Danio rerio: one gene and its partners. The protein of the gene in region 4 purifies or fractionates together with the protein of the main gene of each other region. This does not show direct contact. Links are inferred from orthologs where the notes say so. Each region holds a gene or a part of one and is shown on either strand. Other genes may lie near its edges. The genes, in order: ago2, cnot10, pan2 and tnrc6c1.

Region 1 (4,579 bases), on a different chromosome or scaffold from region 4:
GAGTTATTTTTAGAATGCAACTCCCGCAAATAAAGAGGGACCTCTGTACACCCAAAAAATATTTTTGCTTCTTGTTCAAACTGCTTATTTAATATAAGCTGAAAAAACACTAAAAAAAGCAGGACAAATTTAATGCATTAAACTTGACGGATTTGTGTTGAGACCACATGGTTGAATTGTGTGGAACCATGCGTTTTGTATAGTGTATTCTATTTTTTGTCATCACATTTAATATTTCTCATTGAAAGATTCATTATTTTGAAGCTGATGTCTTTAAAATGTATTTTGTTTGTCTCTAGGTTTCCTTTGCAGCAAGAGAATGGTCAGACCATTGAATGCACTGTCGCCCAGTACTTCAAGGATAAGTACAAACTGGTGCTTCGATACCCACATCTCCCATGTTTACAAGTTGGTCAGGAGCAGAAACACACCTACCTTCCGTTGGAGGTTGGTTGAAACCACATCCTGGACTTGCTTTTCCCCCTTTTTCTCTCATTTCCTTTTCTAAAATTTGTTGTTATTATTATTTAAAAAATTTCAGGTCTGCAACATTGTAGCCGGGCAGCGATGCATCAAGAAACTGACAGACAATCAGACCTCCACTATGATACGTGCCACAGCCAGGTCTGCGCCCGACCGTCAGGACGAGATCAGCAAACTGGTATGCTCTTTATCCATTCTTTTGCAGTTTCCCAAGCCTCGTATACACCTGGTATTTCATCAATCCAATCTCAAATGAACAACAATGAATACAGATGTAAATTAAGTCTACAATGTTTTTCAACCACCTCTAGAGATAGTTGGATTGGATTGCTTTTGTAGTGTAAACATTTGTGGTTGAATGCAATCACACGGCCACAACAGACCACCTTCTCTCTGCCTACTGACTAAGCACATGGTTGTTGTGGGTTGGGTTGTGAAAGCACACAAAAACAAGATACAGTGGTCTCTTGTTTTTTGCAGCAGTCACATTCTAAAAAAAAAACCTGCAATAGATGAAATACTTTCACATTTATTATACTTTTTTTTTTACATTGTTTTCTTTATCTTAAAGCTGTAAAAACCCCTCATTACACACTTTCTACACTTTTCTCTCTTATTTAAACACATTGAAAGTTCAAAATATAAGTCCAGTATTATAGAATGTAACTAAAGACCTAGTTTTTCAGGCCCAAACATTTGTTTGAGAAGATAATTTTATTCTGTAATGGCGCCCCACAGCCTTGTAACGTCTATCTTCCTTTAATCATGTCCAGAAGAACTTTTTGTTTTATGGTCAGCATCTTCCTCTTATTTTTGGGTGCTACCGAGGGCACCTTTGTTAGTGCAGAACGTTTTGTCGACATTGTGGGGTTTGTTGGGGAGAAAACTTGCAAACAGAGATTTATTGACTGTAGTCTACAGCCAATCAGGACACAGAACAATGCACTAATCAAGACGCAGAACACAATGCGCTGTAAAAAAAAAAGCATGTCAAATTCCACAAAATCTGCAAGGCTACGAAAGGTGAACCCCTTATAGTAAGGGACCACTTTATTCATATGTAAGTGTTATATCATAACACACAGTATACAATTGAAATTGTAGTTGTCATCCACATCATTTCTTTGCTAGCTTTGCCCCTCACTGCGTAATATGTGTTCACGTAAAACTTGTGGAACTTGTAGTTCTTCCACAAAAGTAATGTTGGAAGAGTCTTAAAGAAATTCAAACACAAGAGAGACTTTAAACTGATGTTAAATAAAGCTGGACCATTTCATATGGGGTATATGCACACAGACTTTTAATTTCAGTAAAGCCCCAGCCTCAGGATTTCCTTCTTAATTGTCATCCCATATAAAATCGCCACGTTTAAGATCTTTTTTTTTTTTTTTTTTTTTTTTTTTTAAGAAATCAGAAGCAATCTTCCTTGTCTGGCTGAGATACAATATGAAGTGGGTATCGGACCAAACAAGATGCACTGCGTTAAATTATATTTCTCTGCGCCCTGTCTTTAAAATATGGAAATTATGACATATATAAAACAAATGTATGTTAAAATTTTCAGTTTAACAGTTGTTTATTTTTTTCACATTTTTTCCCCTCCCTTCATTTTATTTTAATATATTTTAATTTCTGTCTAAATTATTTTATTTCTTTATTTTACATTTGCCAAGCCTATTGTGACTCGTTGTGTGTGTATATATGTACAATAGATGAGTGAACATAAAATGGAACTTTTAATAACTTGTATTATATGTATGTATATATCATGACATGATGTAAAACAGATTAAAATAGGCATAACATTGTTTAGAAATGGTGCAGTGGGGCGGGGGGCTCTGTTGGAGCAAAAATTATTTGTCGCTGTTTGTCAAATAATTTTGAAATTAATGTTTTATTGACCAATACATTAATAAAATTTTTTGGAAAAAGTACTGAATAATATTTACAACTGAATAGTATTGTATTTTCAATGGAGTTTCTGTGCTAGCCTGCTTTCATCGGAAGTTCATCATTGGCTGAACAACACTAGCTGTGCATATAGCCCATTGCAACACTGAAAATGGACATTAGTAACAGGTGTGAACCAGAGCATTAAATTTCACCCTTACCTTCATTTGTTTGCAACAGATGAGAAGTGCCAACTTCAATACAGATCCTTATGTGCGTGAGTTTGGAGTCATGGTAAGAGACGATATGACTGAAGTCAATGGTCGGGTTCTTCAAGCACCGTCGATTCTCTATGGTGGAAGGGTAAGAATCTCCTCTGCTCAACTCAGCATTTGGTTGAATCCCTGTCTAATTTGGTCATGTCTTTGGCTGTTTCAGAACAAAGCAATAGCAACCCCAGTCCAGGGCGTGTGGGACATGAGGAACAAGCAGTTCCACACAGGGATTGAAATCAAAGTTTGGGCCATTGCCTGCTTTGCCCCACAGAGGCAGTGCACAGAACTCCTGCTGAAGTAAGTCAACTTTAAAGTACACATGAACCAGAAGCTGCGTTCGCTTTTTTTTTTTCATATTGTGATGCAGTCGCTATAGAAACAGAATATTAAATAAGAAATCAGTTGCCGTGACTTGTTTTTTCTGCTGCAAGCTGATTGGATGTAGCAAAGTAGGCATTTCATTCAGAAAGATCAGGAAAGGGCTTCGGGAGAGTTATTATAATCTAACAGTCATCACCTCATCAGTTCTGTTGGCTGTCAAAATTGACAGCTGAAGGAGAGTTGAGTATGTTGGCCACGCCCAATACCTTAGACAAACGTAATCTGAGAAGTTAACCAAAAAACCAGGAAGTGCATTTTCAGATTTCAATTATTAATTATTATTATTATTATTATTATTATTATTAATAAAATGCACAGATAAATTGTTCACCACAACTAGCAATATCAGCTAAAAAATCATATGGTTAGTTTTGATTTCATTCATGCATTCATTCATTTTCTTATCGTATTAGTCCCTTTATCAATCTGGGGTCGCCACAGCGGAATGCACCGCCAACTTTCCAGCACGTTTTTACGCAGCGGATGACCTTCCAGCTGCAATCCATCTCTGGGAAACATCCCCACACACCCATTCATACACTACGGACAATTTAGCTTACTCAATTCACCTGTACTGCATGTCTTTGGACTGTGGGGGAAACCAGAGCACCCGAAGGAAACCCATGCGAACCCAGGGAGAACATGCAAACTCCAGGCTCAAATCAGTGACCCAGCGACCTTCTTGCTGTGAGGCGACAGTGCTACCTACTGCGCCACTACTTTGCCTGTTTTTATTTGTACCTTAATCTGCCTGTTTTGTCATAGAGAAATATTAGCATTTAAGGAAATTATTTTACAAAAGTAAATACTGACCCAGATTTTTATACTATGTTTGTATCCTCAGGGCCTTCACTGACCAGCTTCGTAAGATCTCACGTGATGCTGGGATGCCCATTCAGGGCCAGCCGTGCTTTTGCAAATATGCCCAGGGAGCAGACAGTGTGGAGCCCATGTTCAAACACCTCAAGTACACTTATCAAGGGTTACAGTTGGTGGTGGTCATCTTACCCGGCAAGACTCCTGTTTATGGTAATTTAATTATTATTATTATTATTTTTTTTTTCATCTCATATCTTTAGTGTATTTTTTACACACTCTAAATGCTAAAATTCTTACAGCTGAGGTGAAGCGTGTTGGAGACACTGTTCTCGGCATGGCCACGCAGTGTGTCCAGGTGAAGAATGTGCAGAAGACCACACCTCAAACCCTTTCTAACCTCTGCCTCAAGATTAACGTCAAACTGGGTGGAGTCAACAACATTCTTCTTCCACAGGGCAGGTGAGGGCAGCTGTTACAAATGCCTTTGACATGCAGAAAGCTTGAGGCAATTTCTTGTTGTCCTTTACGTCCTTTGATGCTTTCCCATGAAACTCAAAGGGTTAGTTCACTCGAAAATATGTAGTCTGTCACCCATTGATCATTCCAAACCTGTAAGACTTGGGTTATTCTTGGGAACAAAATTATCTCACTTTATTTTGTTAAGCAATTATATTCATTTATAGCAGCTCAGTCAATATGAATTGAGTTCACTACACCATATTGACCTTTTT
Region 2 (4,579 bases), on a different chromosome or scaffold from region 4:
ACTGTTCCAGCACGTTACACACATTTTCATAGCAGAATATCTGACTTAAGCAATGTTTTTCAGATAAAAAAGAATGTTCACTTAGGATGTTTCTTAAATATCTGCAAACATATCATGGTATTTTTATGCTTTACAAGATTCAAAGACTTGCATACAGCACCTTTAAAGTTACTGTCAATCTCTTTAAGCTAAACAGAGGGAACAACTAAAACAGATTCTTATTGTCTTTATATATGTAAAAATGTAAATATGTTCCATAACGTGATATCTAGCATACATCTTAATAAATACAATTTACAATAAATACAATTTGCATAAATTCTTAGTAACATAGCTTGCTTATTAAAAAAAAAATTCCAGTTAAAACTTCTCTCTCTCTCTGATGTTTGTGCTTGTGCTTTTTTTTCTCCACTTTCCAAAGGTGAATGTGTGAGGTGTATGTTTTGGAATAACCTGGGCTGTATCCATTTTGCCATGGGGAAGCACAACCTTGGTCTGTTTTACTTTAAAAAAGCACTTCAAGAAAATGACCACACATGCGCCCAGATTGGCGACGGCAGTAATGCGCAGGGTAAGATGATCAGGACTTGAGGACAAATTGTGATTTATGGATATCTTGCAAGTTTGTTAGTTAACATTACAGGCGTAGGATATATTGAAAAAATATCAATACTGTGATAATAGTATATGTAATACATCACTTACAATTAAATATATTTTTGTGCCAAGCATTTGTGTGCTGTATACATGGGTTGTTTATTTCCGCTAAAGTTTTCAGTCATTTTTAAAGTCTTTAAGTTTTAAACCTTGACTGTTAAAGTAAAAAAAATTTTACATTTATTTATTTATTTATTTATTTTTTTATTAATTTCCAAAATGATGATTAACAGCAAGGAAATTTTCACAGTATTTCCTATAATATTTTTTTCTTCTGGAGAAAGTCTTATTTGTTTTATTTCGACTAGAATAAAAGCAGTTTTACTTAAAAAAATAAATAAAAAATAAAACATTTTAAGCCTTTAATTGCCTGCTCCACCAAATGGTTGACCATGTTTTGACTGTTTTCAATAATGACTGTTAAAGTCATTTAAAAATGACCATTTTAAATAGTAGTTTACACTACACAGCGTTGTTGATTCACAAAAATAATAAACAAACATAATCCCATTGCACTACTAAACTTGATTTTGCTTTTATTGTAAAAAAAATAACAAAACAGCAACATGTTAAATGAAAATATGAAATATTTTATGGCATACTTAAAAAAATAAAGATGAAATAGCATTCAAAAATGTTTTGGTTTGGTAATTTATTCAAATAAATTGGTCTTACGCTATATTTTCAGATTTTTCTTAGTCTATGTATTAATTACGGTACTTTTACCATTTTTAACAAAGTGACACACTTTAGAATTTTTATCCTATATTAAAATCTTATTTAATTTATGTGCTCGTTTGTTTTTTGTTTGTTTAAAACCCACTACCGCCCATCCCCCTGGTAGACTTCAAAAGATGAATAAAAAAATTATAATAAATAAAATAAAAATAATAAATAAATCAAATAGTTTTACAAAGAAATTCTACAAAAACTTTAAAAAGAATGCATTTTTTGTTGTTTTTAATTGTACATTTATTATTGAAATGTTCTTGCCATGAAAATGGCCTGGGTTGCTGACATGGCATTAAATAAAATAAATACCTTGTATTATTCAATTAGCTCAGAAAAAAATATTAATTACCTGCTTATTTTAGTATGATCATACCATAAATAATTTTTTTTTCAAGTTAGTATTGTAAGAAATATTGCATATTCTCCCAGCCTCGTATTTAACATTGTTTTTTCCTCCCCCATAGCATCTAAGAAGTTCAGTGGTATCCCCATGTGTGCTCTGTTAGCGAATAAGCGCTATGAGCTGCTGTATAACTGCGGGATTCAGCTACTCCATATTGGCCGACCGCTGGCAGCGTTTGAGTGTCTGATGGAGGCTGTACAGGTGTATCACTCCAACCCTCGACTCTGGCTAAGACTGGCAGAGTGCTGCATCACAGCTAATAAAGGGGTACAGACATTAACCCACATCTGTTTTTTGTTTTTGTTTTTACATGAAAGACTCCCCCAACCTCTAAATAGTACACTTCCATTCAAAAGTTTGGGGGTAATAGTTATACCTAGAAAAGTGTCATTAAAGGGATATTTCACTTAAAAATTAAAATTCAATCATTATTTACTCACTCTTTACTTGTTTCAGTTTCTTTCTTCTGTTAAACACAAATGAAGATCCTTTAAAGAATGAATAAAAACCTGTAACGATTGACTTTCATAGTACTTTTTTTCATTCTATGGAAGTCAATGGTTACAGGTTTTCTGCTTTCTTCAGAATATCTTTTGTTTCAAACTTATAAAAGTTTGTAAACTCTTTAGGGTGAGTAAATAGTGAGTAAATAATAATTTTTAGCTGAACTATTTTTTTTTTAAATCTATAAAATAACAACTTTTTTTAGTGTTTACTAATTTTTATTATTTAAATATTGTTATTTTGAACTTAAAATAAAACTTTGAACTTTGAAACAGAAATATAAACATATCAAATAGAAATTGGTGGTTCATTTCGCTGTGGCAAGCCCTGATTAATAAAGGGATTAAGCAGAAAAGAAATTGAATGAAATAGAAATTGAAACATACTTCTTTTGTCGTATTTAAAGTCTGTTCACGTCAAATGCTTAAAACCATTTGCATGTTTTTAAAATTATTTTGGTATGACCAGATTTGTTAAAGTTGGAAACACCTTTTTGTAGTATATTGATGATTTTGAAATATATTTGACATTCATATTTATTTTAATAACCTTTCCTTCATTTGTTTCCTCTTAGAGTTCGGAGCAGGAAACAAAAGGTTTACCCAGTAAAAAGGGCATCGTGCAGGCGGTTGTTGGGCAGGGCTACCATCGCAAGATTGTTCTAGCATCACAGTCCACACAAAACACCATCTACAGGTATTAATAATTTTGGACTAATGAACCATGATTTTGCTAATTATTAATGGAGTTACAAAATGTAGCTGCTTGAGATTGTGTCTGCCTGATTGGAGGGATGCGATTTCCAATTCATGCACTGTATGATGCACTGTAGTGACAGGGTTTCACCAGAAGATGTCATCCTTTTGCACTTATTCTTTTCTCTCTCAGAACAAATAACATTCAAAGACATTAAAGGGATAGTTGGCCTTTTACTCAGCCTTTATTGTTCCAAAACTTTTATGTAATGGGTTTGTATGGGTACTCTTTGAACAAGGCATACATTGAATATGCTTGAATTTTAATCTAGTGTTGTAAAGGTTTGAAAAGTACTTTGATACTTTAATTTTTGGATAAAGTACTTGAAACAACTTGAAATTGCAATTGTGTAAGTTTCATAATAATTTATTGTACCAAATAGTTTCCTATTTAAGCACAATATTAATACATATTTGCTTTTTCATCAAATGAAAGCTATTATTTATTCATATATTATAATTACTGTAATATATTATTACTATAATATTACTATAATATACCATTGAAATCAGAATTATTAATTATTAAATTATTAAACTAATGATTTTGAAGAAAATGTATATATTTTAATGAATTTAAGAAACCAGTATTCATTGACTTCCATTGAAGGAGAAAAAAACACACTATGAAAGTCGATGGTTACAGGTTTTTATTTGCTTAATTACTTATTCTGTCCTCATTTACTCGCGATTCAAAGCCGCATGACTTTCATTCTCTGTTGAATGCAAGAAAATATATGTGTTTAAGAATGTAAGTAACCAGTATTCGTTGACTTTTTTTGCCATAATGTGGCTCTCCAACATTCTTCAAATATATTATTTTGTATTGAGAAAAAACAAAACTTGTAATGAATTTGAAGAAAATATATATTTTTAAAGACCGCAAGTAACCAGTATCCATTGACTTCCATAGTATATTTTTTGCCATAATGTGCCTATCCAACATTCTTCTAATTATCTTATTTTGTATTGAGAAGAAAATAAAATGTCTAATGGATTTGAAGAAAATAATTTATATATATATATATATATATATATATATATATATATATATATATATATATATATATATATATATATATATATATTTTTTTTTTTTTTTTTTTTAAATTTTTTTCAAGAATGTAAGAAACTAGTATCCATTGACTTCCATTGAAGGAAAAGCACAAATACTATGAAAGTCGATGGTTAGTGGTTTTTATGTATTTAATTACTTATTCTGTCCTCATTTACTCGCTTTTCAAACCCTCATGACTTTCTTTCTTTCTTTGTTGTACACAAGAATTTATTTTTTAAGAATGTTAGAAACCAGTATTCATTGACTCTCATATTTTTATTTTTATTTTACTTGGCTGTCCAAACATTCCTCAAAATATCTTATTTCGTATTGAGAAGAAAAATACAACTAATGACTTTGAAGAAAATATATATTTTTAAATAATGTAAGAAACCAGTATCCATTAACTTCCATGGTATTTTTTTGCCTTACTGTGTGGCTATCCAACATTCTTCAAAATATCTTATTTCT
Region 3 (5,116 bases), on a different chromosome or scaffold from region 4:
CCATTGTATAAACAGATACACAAACTTTTGATCCACAAAAAAGGCATAGCAAAAGTGATACAGGAAGTTAGATGATGTAATGATGTGTCATGTATAAAACAGAATCAATGCTGAACTACTGCACGGCAACGTGATGGGTATTGTTGTATGAATTTTGACAGGATTACCAATCATTTATGACTTATGAAAATAAAGCATGGATCTGGAGAGTACCAAAAACACAAATGTAATAGCTGACTTGTAAAACAAGGTATTTTTTGGAGCGCACCTCTACTTTGCTTTAATTAGAGTCATCAGTACATCATCAGTACACAATTACAGGAATTTTCTCAGCACAGCACAATCGACATTCACGAGAATTTGGGGAGGTAAACCTCTTGTAGATTCTCTCATTCAGAAATTCATTGAAAACAATTCTTTCATTAAGGGCAATAGAAATTATAGAACTTCCACAGCTATATAAACCAAACCACTTTTCTTAGAATCCTGAATGAGAGAGTTTCCCCAATTCGAGGACTTATCAATGAGGAAGTGAGAGCAAAGCATGCAGATCACACACAGAATTTCTCCCATGAATATGAACCATTTGTGACTGATAAGCTGCTGACTTTATACCGTGGATTTTTTTTTTATCTTGTTTCTTTTGAAGCTACTACAGGCCCATAGCCAGGGGGGTTTGGGTGATTCTAAAGACCCACCCCTCACTGACAAACATCTATAGTTTTTCCCCATACATGAGCTCATTTGTCCTATTTTAATTGCTATGCCATCATAAATAGTGAAAATAACCAATTGAAAAAGGTTTTATGACCAAGTGAAATCCTCTGTTGGCTGTCGCTTCAGTGTGACTTCAGTTAATCAGTTTTGTCCAATGCACACAATTATTTTTCACGAGTTCAACATCCAGCTGTGCAGTAAAACATACAATCTGACGTAAGTGAAGTCATCTTTTGCTACTGTATTGTTTTTAAATAGAGAAAATATTCTACAAGTAACTTTTATTCTAAATCTTGGACCTTATTCTTGAAACAAAAAATTACCAATGAATAGGTTTGACGCAATAAAAGTGACCAATATTAAAATGAATTTCAATAATAATTTGGCTATTGATGTTATCCATGAATTTTCAAATGTACTTTTTTGGTAATATGACCACCCAACAAGCTATTTCAGCTGAAATCGAGCCTAAATGAGGCCTGTAACTGCAAAAAGGTCCACTTTTTGAGAAAAAAGAACCATCCCTTTCACCAGGCCGGCCACAGCCCTGAACTACACTACTCATAGACTGTAAAAAAAAGTAGTAATTCATTAATAAATACCTATAGCATTGGAATTTTTCCATATCAGCCATTTTTTTTATTGATTTATATTTTGTTTGTGTAATTAGACGATAAACTAAAGTAAATTGTATTAAGAAATGCCCTCATGTCTTTGGGTCACACCATTAAGTTACAACATTAGGTTATACTGATTTTTTGTGAAAAAATAAGACGTTTCTAAAGAATTAAATATAGATTATTTACTAAATTAAATGTTTCAAAGACTAAATGACTGACAGATGTTTAAATATTTCATCTGTGACACAGTTAAAGCGCCGGTTGAGGATACCGGAAGCAGATTAGGCTTACCCGGAAGTGCGCGGTTGTTTTTGTTTTGAATGAAGCGAGTAGCATGAGCATATGGATACGAGGATAACTATAGTCTAAAGGTATGATTTATCTTGTACAAATATTAAAAGAAGGACTTGTAATACTCTTTCTGAAATGCTGTCGAAAGCTAAATGAAACCGTACACAAGTGCCAGTCGTCATATGCACAGGAAAATGTCATGCACGCCAGTTCATAGAATAATGTCATGCAGGCCAATTTATATTGTACCATAATTATCTTGTAGTGCACATAGACACTATTACAAACATTGATTATGTAACTTCCAGCTTGTTTACGTGGATTAGTTAACAAGCAGGGAAGTTTGATTGTGTTTCAAAAAGTGAGCTGTCTAACGTTACCTAAATCAGTGTTGTTGTCGTCTAGTCTCTTGTTAGGCTAAACTAAAGATATAAAGATATATGCTTGGCAGCTCAGTGGGTTTAAGAAGCTGCTATGAAGTCTCTATGACAGCTTGAAAATTCTCACGCAAATTGAGAAACCATTTGTCAGTTCTTTCAGTTTCTCTGGATTTATAAGTTATGATTTTGAGTAAAATCTTTATAGTTATTTCATTATTTGGAGGTCAGATAACATTTCCTTCAATTGTTATCATTTAGAACAGTTCAATAAAGAAACTGTCCATTTCACCCCCACAATATGTTTATTTATTTGTTGTGTTAAACACATATGTTTGAGTAAACTATTGATGGCACTTCTTCCAGTCAGGTAAGATTATGTTCATATATATATATATATATATATATATATATATATATATATATATATATATATATATATATATATATATATATATATATAATTTGTGTGTGTATGTATGTATGTATGTGTGTGTGTGTGTGTGTGTGTGTGTGTGTGTGTGTGTATATATATATATATATATATATATATATATATATATATATATATATATATATATATATATATATAAACTCATAAATCCATAGAAACTGAACCTTTTTGTGCATGTAATGATAATAAAAATAATTCCTTTTATATAGCGCTTTTCTGGACACTCAAAGCCAAAGCCACACATTTTTTGGGGGGGGATCTCCTCATCCACCACCAGTGTGCAGCATCCACCTGGATAACACAACCAGCTGAGTGGTGGAGAGGAAACAGAGGGATGAAGCTAATTACAATATGGGGATGGTTAGGAGGCCAGTGGTCAAATTTGGTCAGGATTAAACCCCTACTCCAGGGGTGGCCAACCCTGTTCCTGGAGAGCCAGCTTCCTGCAGATTTCAGTTGCAACCCTTATCAAACACACCTGCCAGTAATTATTACGTGGTGTTCAGGTAGTAACTAATTGGTTCTGGTGTTTTTGATATGGGTAGCAACCGAAATCTGCAGGAAAGTGGCTGTCCAGGAACACAGGAACATGGTTGGCCACCCCTGCCCTACTCTTTTTCAAAGGACATCCTGGGATTTTTTAATGACCACAGAGAATCAGGTTTAACATTTCACTGCGGCACTCACTGAGCAGTATAGAGTACCTAGCAATATACTGCGCATTAGGACCCACACAGGCCGCAGGGTTGAGCTCCCCCTGCTGTTTTCACTAACACCACTTTCAGCAGTAACCTATCTTTCCCATGTGGTCTCCCATCCAGGTACTGACCCAGCGCAGCCTTGCTTAGCTTCAGTGGACGACCATGTGAGAGCTGCAGTGAGCTAGTTGCCGGCAGATGTAGTTTTAATTAACTGCTGTGATGTTTCATGCTAATAACATTTCTAGAAACATTCAGTTTTCAATAATTACTTTACTGATAAAACAAACAGCAGAAGTATTAGTAAAATGTATATTAATAAAAAATTATCTTGTAAATTAATTATAAAACAAGCAAGAACAATATAATTATGTAAAGATATATGTGTATATTATGTATCTTAATCCAAAAGTATAGAAGAATAAAAAAATACTAAGCTTATGTCCATATTTTAAGAAGGAACTGGAAACAGAGCAGTGAAACGGGCCATGAAACCAATCATTTATGAGGAAAAATAAGGACAGTAAAATGATCAGTAAATAAATACTTTTGGTTGATGTGTTGGGAATACTCATGTGAAAGCATACAAACAGGAAAATATATATATAAGGGACCTAAATTACTTAATTTCACAATTTTTTTTTGTACCCCATCAGCACCGTCCTCATGATGAACTTCGAGGGTCTGGACCCGGGTTTGGGCGATTATGCGCCTGGCCTGCATGGTGGCCTGGAGCCCGGTCTGGACTCTTCCCTGGACCCGCGGCTCGACCCGGCGCTACTGCAGGGTGTGGAGATCGACCCCGATGGGCTGGCTGTGTCAGAGTCTGTGCACATAGTGGAAGGCATGTACTCGGAGTTGCACAGCGTGGCAGCTGAAGTCGGGATCCCTGTGACAGCCACACACTTCGATCTGCAGGAGGAGTTGCTCTGGATGGGGAACCACCGGGTGAAGAGACACATTCATTACTGTTTTTACACTGCTGCATGATTGTTTAGAATGCTACGATTATTTTGGGGTGTTTGGAAGTGTGTTATGCTCATCAAAGCAATTATTTGATCAAAAATACATTATGTAACGTAAAATCTATTTTATAATTTAAGTGTACTGTTTCTTTTTTCAAACTTTAAAAAAATATTTATTTATTTTTGTGATGGCAAAGCAGAATTTTAGGCCTTCAGATGATGCTGAAGTAATTATCATTTTTTTATGAATTAATCATTATAAGTGCTCAGTTTTAAAGAGATGGTTTACACAAAAAGGTAAATTTGTTGGTAATTTGAAGTGAAGTGAGCTTTTACTAGCTCTCAGATTTTGAAATGTTTTAAAATAAGCCTCTCCTGCTCACCAAGGCTGCATTTATTTAATTAAAAATACAGTACAAATTGTGAAATGTTATTGCACTATAAAATAACTGTTTAAAAGTAGTTTATCAATTAATTTAATAATTTATTCCAGTGATTTTAAAGAGGAATTTTCAGCTTCATTACTCCATTCTTCAGTCACATGATCCTTACAAAGTCACTCTAATATTAATTATTATTATTATCATTATTAATATTACTATTATTATTACATTAATAATAATTGAATGATAATACTAATATATATATATATATATATATATATATAATTTTTTTTATCATTTGCTTTATTGGGTTCATCTTAGGTCAGACAAAAAATAACACTTTAAATAGAATAAGAAATAATATTCATACATATATGCATAAAATGCCATAAAAATCAGGCACTGATACATTTCACCAAACATGTAATTATCAGGAAAACATAATTATACACTAAATAAGTATAGAAATAATAAGGTTAAATATCACATATATACATAAACACATACATGCATAAGATAACATTAGCCCCTATTTTTGTTTAACAGAGAGAAGATTTTTTCAACACATTTCTAATCATATTAGTTTTAATAACTCGTTTCTAATAACTGAT
Region 4 (5,156 bases):
TGCCATACAAAACATGCATAAAATCATACAATTCAATGGTAGAATGCATCCTTGATCACTGTCAGCTTCTTCTCGGTCAAATCATGCCACTTCCGAGTCATGGCCTTAAACATGTAATGCACGCATTTTGTTAGATTTAATGCAAATGTGACAGTACTGAACAGAAACACGGGAACAATTGTACATTTATTATTATTATATATTTGCAGTAATTATTTGTAGAATCTAATTAAAATAATATGTTTCTAACCAATTGATGTGAATGATAACACCTTAAACTTGCTATTTCTGAAGCATTTTTTGTTTCCAAATAACAGTTTTTAGCTTAACAAAACTATAAAAGCTGTCGGTTCAACTGGGCTGAGGACATGGACAATGACAGTTTGTGTCTGTAAAGTGCTTTTAATAAAGAACAAAAATCTGAGAACCAGATAAATGACATATTCCTTTACAAAACAACTCACAGAAATCAACCATTAGTCCATTTTAGACATTTTTGGAATGAAATACACTTTATTCACTGTATTTATGACAGATAATGTACGTTTCTAGTAGAATGTCCCATATACAAATGATGTGCATGTTACCGTTGAGTGATGTGTCTTAAATTATGAGGCACATATTTTGCAACCAGGTTATGAGCTATATGGTGTTTTCCACTGTTGGGTTGTGGCTGGAAGGGCATCCGCTGTGTTAAAGATATGATGGACAAGCTGGTGGTTCGTTCCACTGTGACGACCCCTGAATAATAAAGGGACTAAGGTGAAAAAAATGAATGAATGAGCTATATTATGAGATTTCAGATTAATTGAGTGCTTTAGGGAAAGCACATTAGAAAAGACTGTTTACACAATAAACCAGAGTGTTTATTATTATTATGACATAAACTAAAGGGAGGGTGACAGTGGCGCAGTGGGTAGCATGATTGCCTCACAGCTGGAAAGTTGCTGGTTTGAGCCTTGGCTGGGTCAGTTGGCATTTCTGAGTGGAGTTTGCATGTTCTCCCTGTGATTGATTGGATTTCCTCCGGGTGCTTCGGTTTCCCCCACAGGTCCAAAGACATGCGCTATAGGTGAATTGGATAGGCTAAATTGACCATAGTTTATGAGTGTGAATGAAAGTGTGTGGGTGTTTTTCAGTGAAGGGTTGGAGCTGGATGGACATCCGCTGTGTAAAACTTGTGCTGGATAAGTTGGCGGTTTATTCCGCTTTGGCGACCCCAGATTAATAAAGGGACTCAGTTGAAAAGAAAATGAATGAATGAATGAATGAATGAATGAATGAATGAATGAATGAATGAATGAATGAATGAAGGAATGAAACTTATTAAGAACAAATGAAGGGTGAAGGGAATGTTTCCATTTAACCATTGCTATTGGAAGAACACTTTTATTTGCAGTTAGGATTTTCCTAATATAATTGTTATAAAAACATCTATACACGATAGAAAGGCCCTTAATAGTAAGCTATCCAGTTAATAAGTTAACTATAATTAACATGAGTATAAGCCATGTCTATTGGCTAGCTGAAATAGCGCCGTCTGGTGGAGAAACGACGACTTCACCAAAATCAGATTTGATGCGGGACGTTAAACTCCACGACTAAAAATGGATGTAAGGTTTCTTTAGAACCGCTTTGATATAACTACATTTTAAAGCACTGCTGAGAAAGCCTTGTTATTGATTAATAGGACGAGAGACACACCAGAGATAGCTGCTGCCGCTGCTGCTGCACGTCAGCCAGTGTTGTTGGTGGATGGAGGTGGTTCCTGACCCTCGTTCTCATAGCAACAGTGAAGGTGGAGCGATATATTTTAACGGAGGGGTTGGATTGTTTGTGAGTTGACGTCACGTGACTTGTCGCTGGGGAATGGGGGCACTTCCTGTTTTACTCTGCCGAGACTTGAGCCGCTGTTGTCAGTTTCAACAAAATGGCTGCTGGAGCGCCACAAACGAAATCCCAGTGAACGCTTCACGTCAGTGCAGAATCGTTTCAAATGGATGCATTGGAATTTCCGAGCATTGGGACATTAATTCGTGTGGACTCGTTTGCATACGTGTTATCGAGCTGAAAGGCATGCTGAAAGATTTCCCTTTACGCACTTTATATACATCCAAAAGCATACTAAAGCTCAAACTGCCAGTGCGCGCGCGTCTGTGAGGGTGCGCGCGTGAAGCTGCTTCTTAAAATCGCCGAAATGTTACACTTGATCAACCTTAAGCTTGCTCGCTGACGTGCAGAATTGTCGTTTAATGTCCTTTTCACTGTTTGCACTGGTATTTGTTTTTAGAGATTGTTTCTTTCCCCCCTCTGGATAAATTCCACTGCATAATAAGAGGTGAATTCCTCAACTGGAAAGTCAGGCTCGCCATTGCAGTTCACTGCAAGAGCGAGAGAGTCTGACTGCGACTGAATATATCTGATCTGTGTCAGTACGGGTATCGACAACATCCTCCTTCACCATGCAGCTTATGCACCCCATCTGAACCGCAAACTGCAGTTGCTCCGTGTGCGAAATAAAGGTAAGATAAGGCTTTTTGATAAATGTTTTAATGTTTACGTGGGCGGGGTGTGCTTGTTTCTGTTTACAGTGGCAATGCGTCATTTTAGGATTCACTTTCGAGCCTTTATAGTATTTTGACAGCCAGTGACATTCTATCCAGAATTAGAGACACCACCAAAAGCAGACATACGCGCAGGATCTTTAACAACGTGCGGTCTTTTTGTTTTGGTGGCTGGAAATAGCTTACGTGTGCAAATGTTTACTCCCCCGTAAATCAACATTGGCCCATTTTCTAAACAGATATGCGGGATAAGCATCTTTTCTATCGGATTCAATTCCTGCTCAAGATCCATAATGTTAGTCTATATGACTTGTGATTTGTGTATTGCGTTTAGTTAACGCTAGAGTTTGATTGTGTGTTGTGTAAATACATGTGTCCAGTGTTTGCTGGGAGTCCCGTCACATCTTTTTGGTGCTCAAAATGTTGTTTTGGAGGCATATCTCGCTGGTGTTTGAGGTTATGTTGTTGTTGTGGAGAGTCGCGCTAACGTTAACGACAAACCCCGGGCGACGAATTTATAGAGAAAGAACTGCTGTGATTGTGATATTTATGGGTCTTTGGATTAGAAATAACCCTTGCATGTCTGACCAACGCGTCTCCCTTCACTGTGCGCTCGAGGCTCTGTCATTTTGATATTGACGGCAAGATTCAGGCTTATCAAATAAAATAAAACTAGCGTTTAGTAATTATTACGAGACTGTGTCTAAGTTTCCATCGAAACGTCAGTTAACGTTACTACGTCATCCTGTTGTTATTGCTACGAAATTCACAATAAACAGAAGTCAAACAATTTAAGCTGTCAGAGAATGGTTGTCAGTGCTTATTTTCTTTTTCTAGAGTCTTTATTAATACTGAATGTCCACCGCCTGATATATTCACCAATACTGTGCTCCCAAATGTAGCTACGTACGTTTTCACCTCAAAGCAGGATCCCGCTAACGTGCTTTCCGTCTGAGGACAGCACCAATGTCAAACGTCCCCATGACTGTTCATGTGGTGCAGTTGCTAATTTGGCAAGGAGAGTTTCTGCTCCCCTCCCAGGGTCAGGGGGCCCCTGTCAGAGGCAGACCTTTGAAAAGGGCTGTGTGTTCTCCAAGAGTGAAAAAGGGTCAGACAAAAAGAGGCCACTTAATGCTCAGATTACCATAAAGCTTAGGTCACATTGCCTCTCTCAGCTTGTTCTTATGGAGCCTCACCAGCATTATGTGGCTAGGGATTTGCACTGTGTGGCTTCACGTTTGGTCATTTATTGCTAGTGAAATGATCATGTCTGCTGTGTGATTCCTGTGTAAAAGTTCCTGTATTGTGACTGTGGCATTTTGAGCAAGACCATAATAACCACAGATCAAACCACTAATTGCATCTCTTAGGTCAGTGTCAGGATAGACTAGTTTTTGTAAAAAGCCAAAACCTTAAAAATAGAGTCACTGTAATATGAATGAAATGTGTCTTCTGTCCAAACCACAGTTGGTAAAGTGTTGAGTATTGTTCAAGTAAAACTGTGCCACAATTTATCAAATTGCTTTGAAGGCAGCATTAGCTTGCACCTGTTTATCTCTTTGTGTATCCTGCAAACAACTGTTATTTTCTTTTCCTTTTGTGCATGTGCAGTTTTCTGGTAAAAACATTTTACATTTGCAAGTGTACATTCGCACATGTAAGATTCACTTCAGGATCTGTATTTAAAGCCACAATAGAGGATCCCGTCTGAGCTTCCAGTATCAGTCTACGCTAAAGGAAACATTCACTGTTGACATATTTTGCTGAATGAATCTCTTATCGGGTTTTACATTCTTTATAAATTATCTTGAAATTATTTTGTTTTCATTAGTTTTTTTGTTTAACCAGTGGTTTATCTTTTATGCTAAGTGTACAGGCAAAAAGTGTTTTTTACATTAGCTATGTTTGCATCCACCTATTTACACATTTTGTATATGCACATAAAAAAGTGATGAAAACGAAAGGATGCGCAAAAGTTTTGAAAATGCGGTTAAAAAACATATGCACATAACTAAGTAGGATAAAGTTTATATTCGAAAAGAAAACATGCGCAAAAAATGTGTGGAAACACATTTATCGATTTTAGTTAATCAGGAAGTGTCGATTTTGTTCTCTTTAACTCATTGAATGGAAACGCTGCCTTCTTCTTTTTTTAGGCTCCCTAAACAAAATTTGAATGAAAACTGTTTTTTTTATGCTTGTGGTGTGAAAAACCAAAAAATTAATCAAAAATCTAAAAAAAAATGTAAAAAGTTTTTTTCCCCCAGTCTTTCGTTGATAAATATTGTTTATAAAACCATCAATGCCAATAGTATATTATTGATATTTTTTTTTTTATTTGCACAGAGGTTTTTGAAAACCTTTATGTCTTGTCAAGTTTAATATCTACAGTCAAATTCAATCATTTTGTTTATGCCAATCAGTACTGAAGATTGCGCCTGGATCTTTTTATCCGATGCTTACTGGAAAAGTTTTTAATTATGGAAAATAATAATTCAGAGATGTTTCTTTCTTCGAAATCTTAAGTTACAGAAATGATAGTCTTTTGTTTTTCTACAGGTAGTCTCCAGAATTCTGTTTTCTGTTCTGTTT

What was found.
Region 1: the proteins of tnrc6c1 (region 4) and ago2 purify together in Homo sapiens (co-immunoprecipitation; 6 studies listed by BioGRID and IntAct, with this or other methods). This does not show direct contact. The link is inferred for Danio rerio from reciprocal best matches to the Homo sapiens genes TNRC6C and AGO2.
Region 2: the proteins of tnrc6c1 (region 4) and cnot10 purify together in Homo sapiens (co-immunoprecipitation; 3 studies listed by BioGRID and IntAct, with this or other methods). This does not show direct contact. The link is inferred for Danio rerio from reciprocal best matches to the Homo sapiens genes TNRC6C and CNOT10.
Region 3: the proteins of tnrc6c1 (region 4) and pan2 purify together in Homo sapiens (affinity purification with western blotting; 3 studies listed by BioGRID and IntAct, with this or other methods). This does not show direct contact. The link is inferred for Danio rerio from reciprocal best matches to the Homo sapiens genes TNRC6C and PAN2.

What each region holds. Positions count from the first base shown.
Region 1 is NC_133194.1:44,210,581-44,215,159, forward strand, and holds part of ago2 (protein argonaute-2), read left to right. Parts: intron 1-299; coding exon 300-447; intron 448-541; coding exon 542-661; intron 662-2,613; coding exon 2,614-2,945; intron 2,946-3,873; coding exon 3,874-4,058; intron 4,059-4,147; coding exon 4,148-4,307; intron 4,308-4,579.
Region 2 is NC_133191.1:8,047,110-8,051,688, forward strand, and holds part of cnot10 (CCR4-NOT transcription complex subunit 10), read left to right. Parts: intron 1-421; coding exon 422-571; intron 572-1,853; coding exon 1,854-2,059; intron 2,060-2,870; coding exon 2,871-2,992; intron 2,993-4,579. UniProt on the Homo sapiens protein: Component of the CCR4-NOT complex which is one of the major cellular mRNA deadenylases and is linked to various cellular processes including bulk mRNA degradation, miRNA-mediated repression, translational repression during translational initiation and general transcription regulation.
Region 3 is NC_133198.1:34,920,743-34,925,858, forward strand, and holds the start of pan2 (PAN2-PAN3 deadenylation complex catalytic subunit PAN2), read left to right. Parts: upstream 1-1,615; 5' UTR 1,616-1,708; intron 1,709-3,813; 5' UTR 3,814-3,823; coding exon 3,824-4,105; intron 4,106-5,116. UniProt on the Homo sapiens protein: Catalytic subunit of the poly(A)-nuclease (PAN) deadenylation complex, one of two cytoplasmic mRNA deadenylases involved in general and miRNA-mediated mRNA turnover.
Region 4 is NC_133178.1:33,188,832-33,193,987, reverse strand, and holds the start of tnrc6c1 (trinucleotide repeat-containing gene 6C protein), read left to right. Parts: upstream 1-1,918; 5' UTR 1,919-2,522; intron 2,523-5,156. UniProt on the Homo sapiens protein: Plays a role in RNA-mediated gene silencing by micro-RNAs (miRNAs). Required for miRNA-dependent translational repression of complementary mRNAs by argonaute family proteins.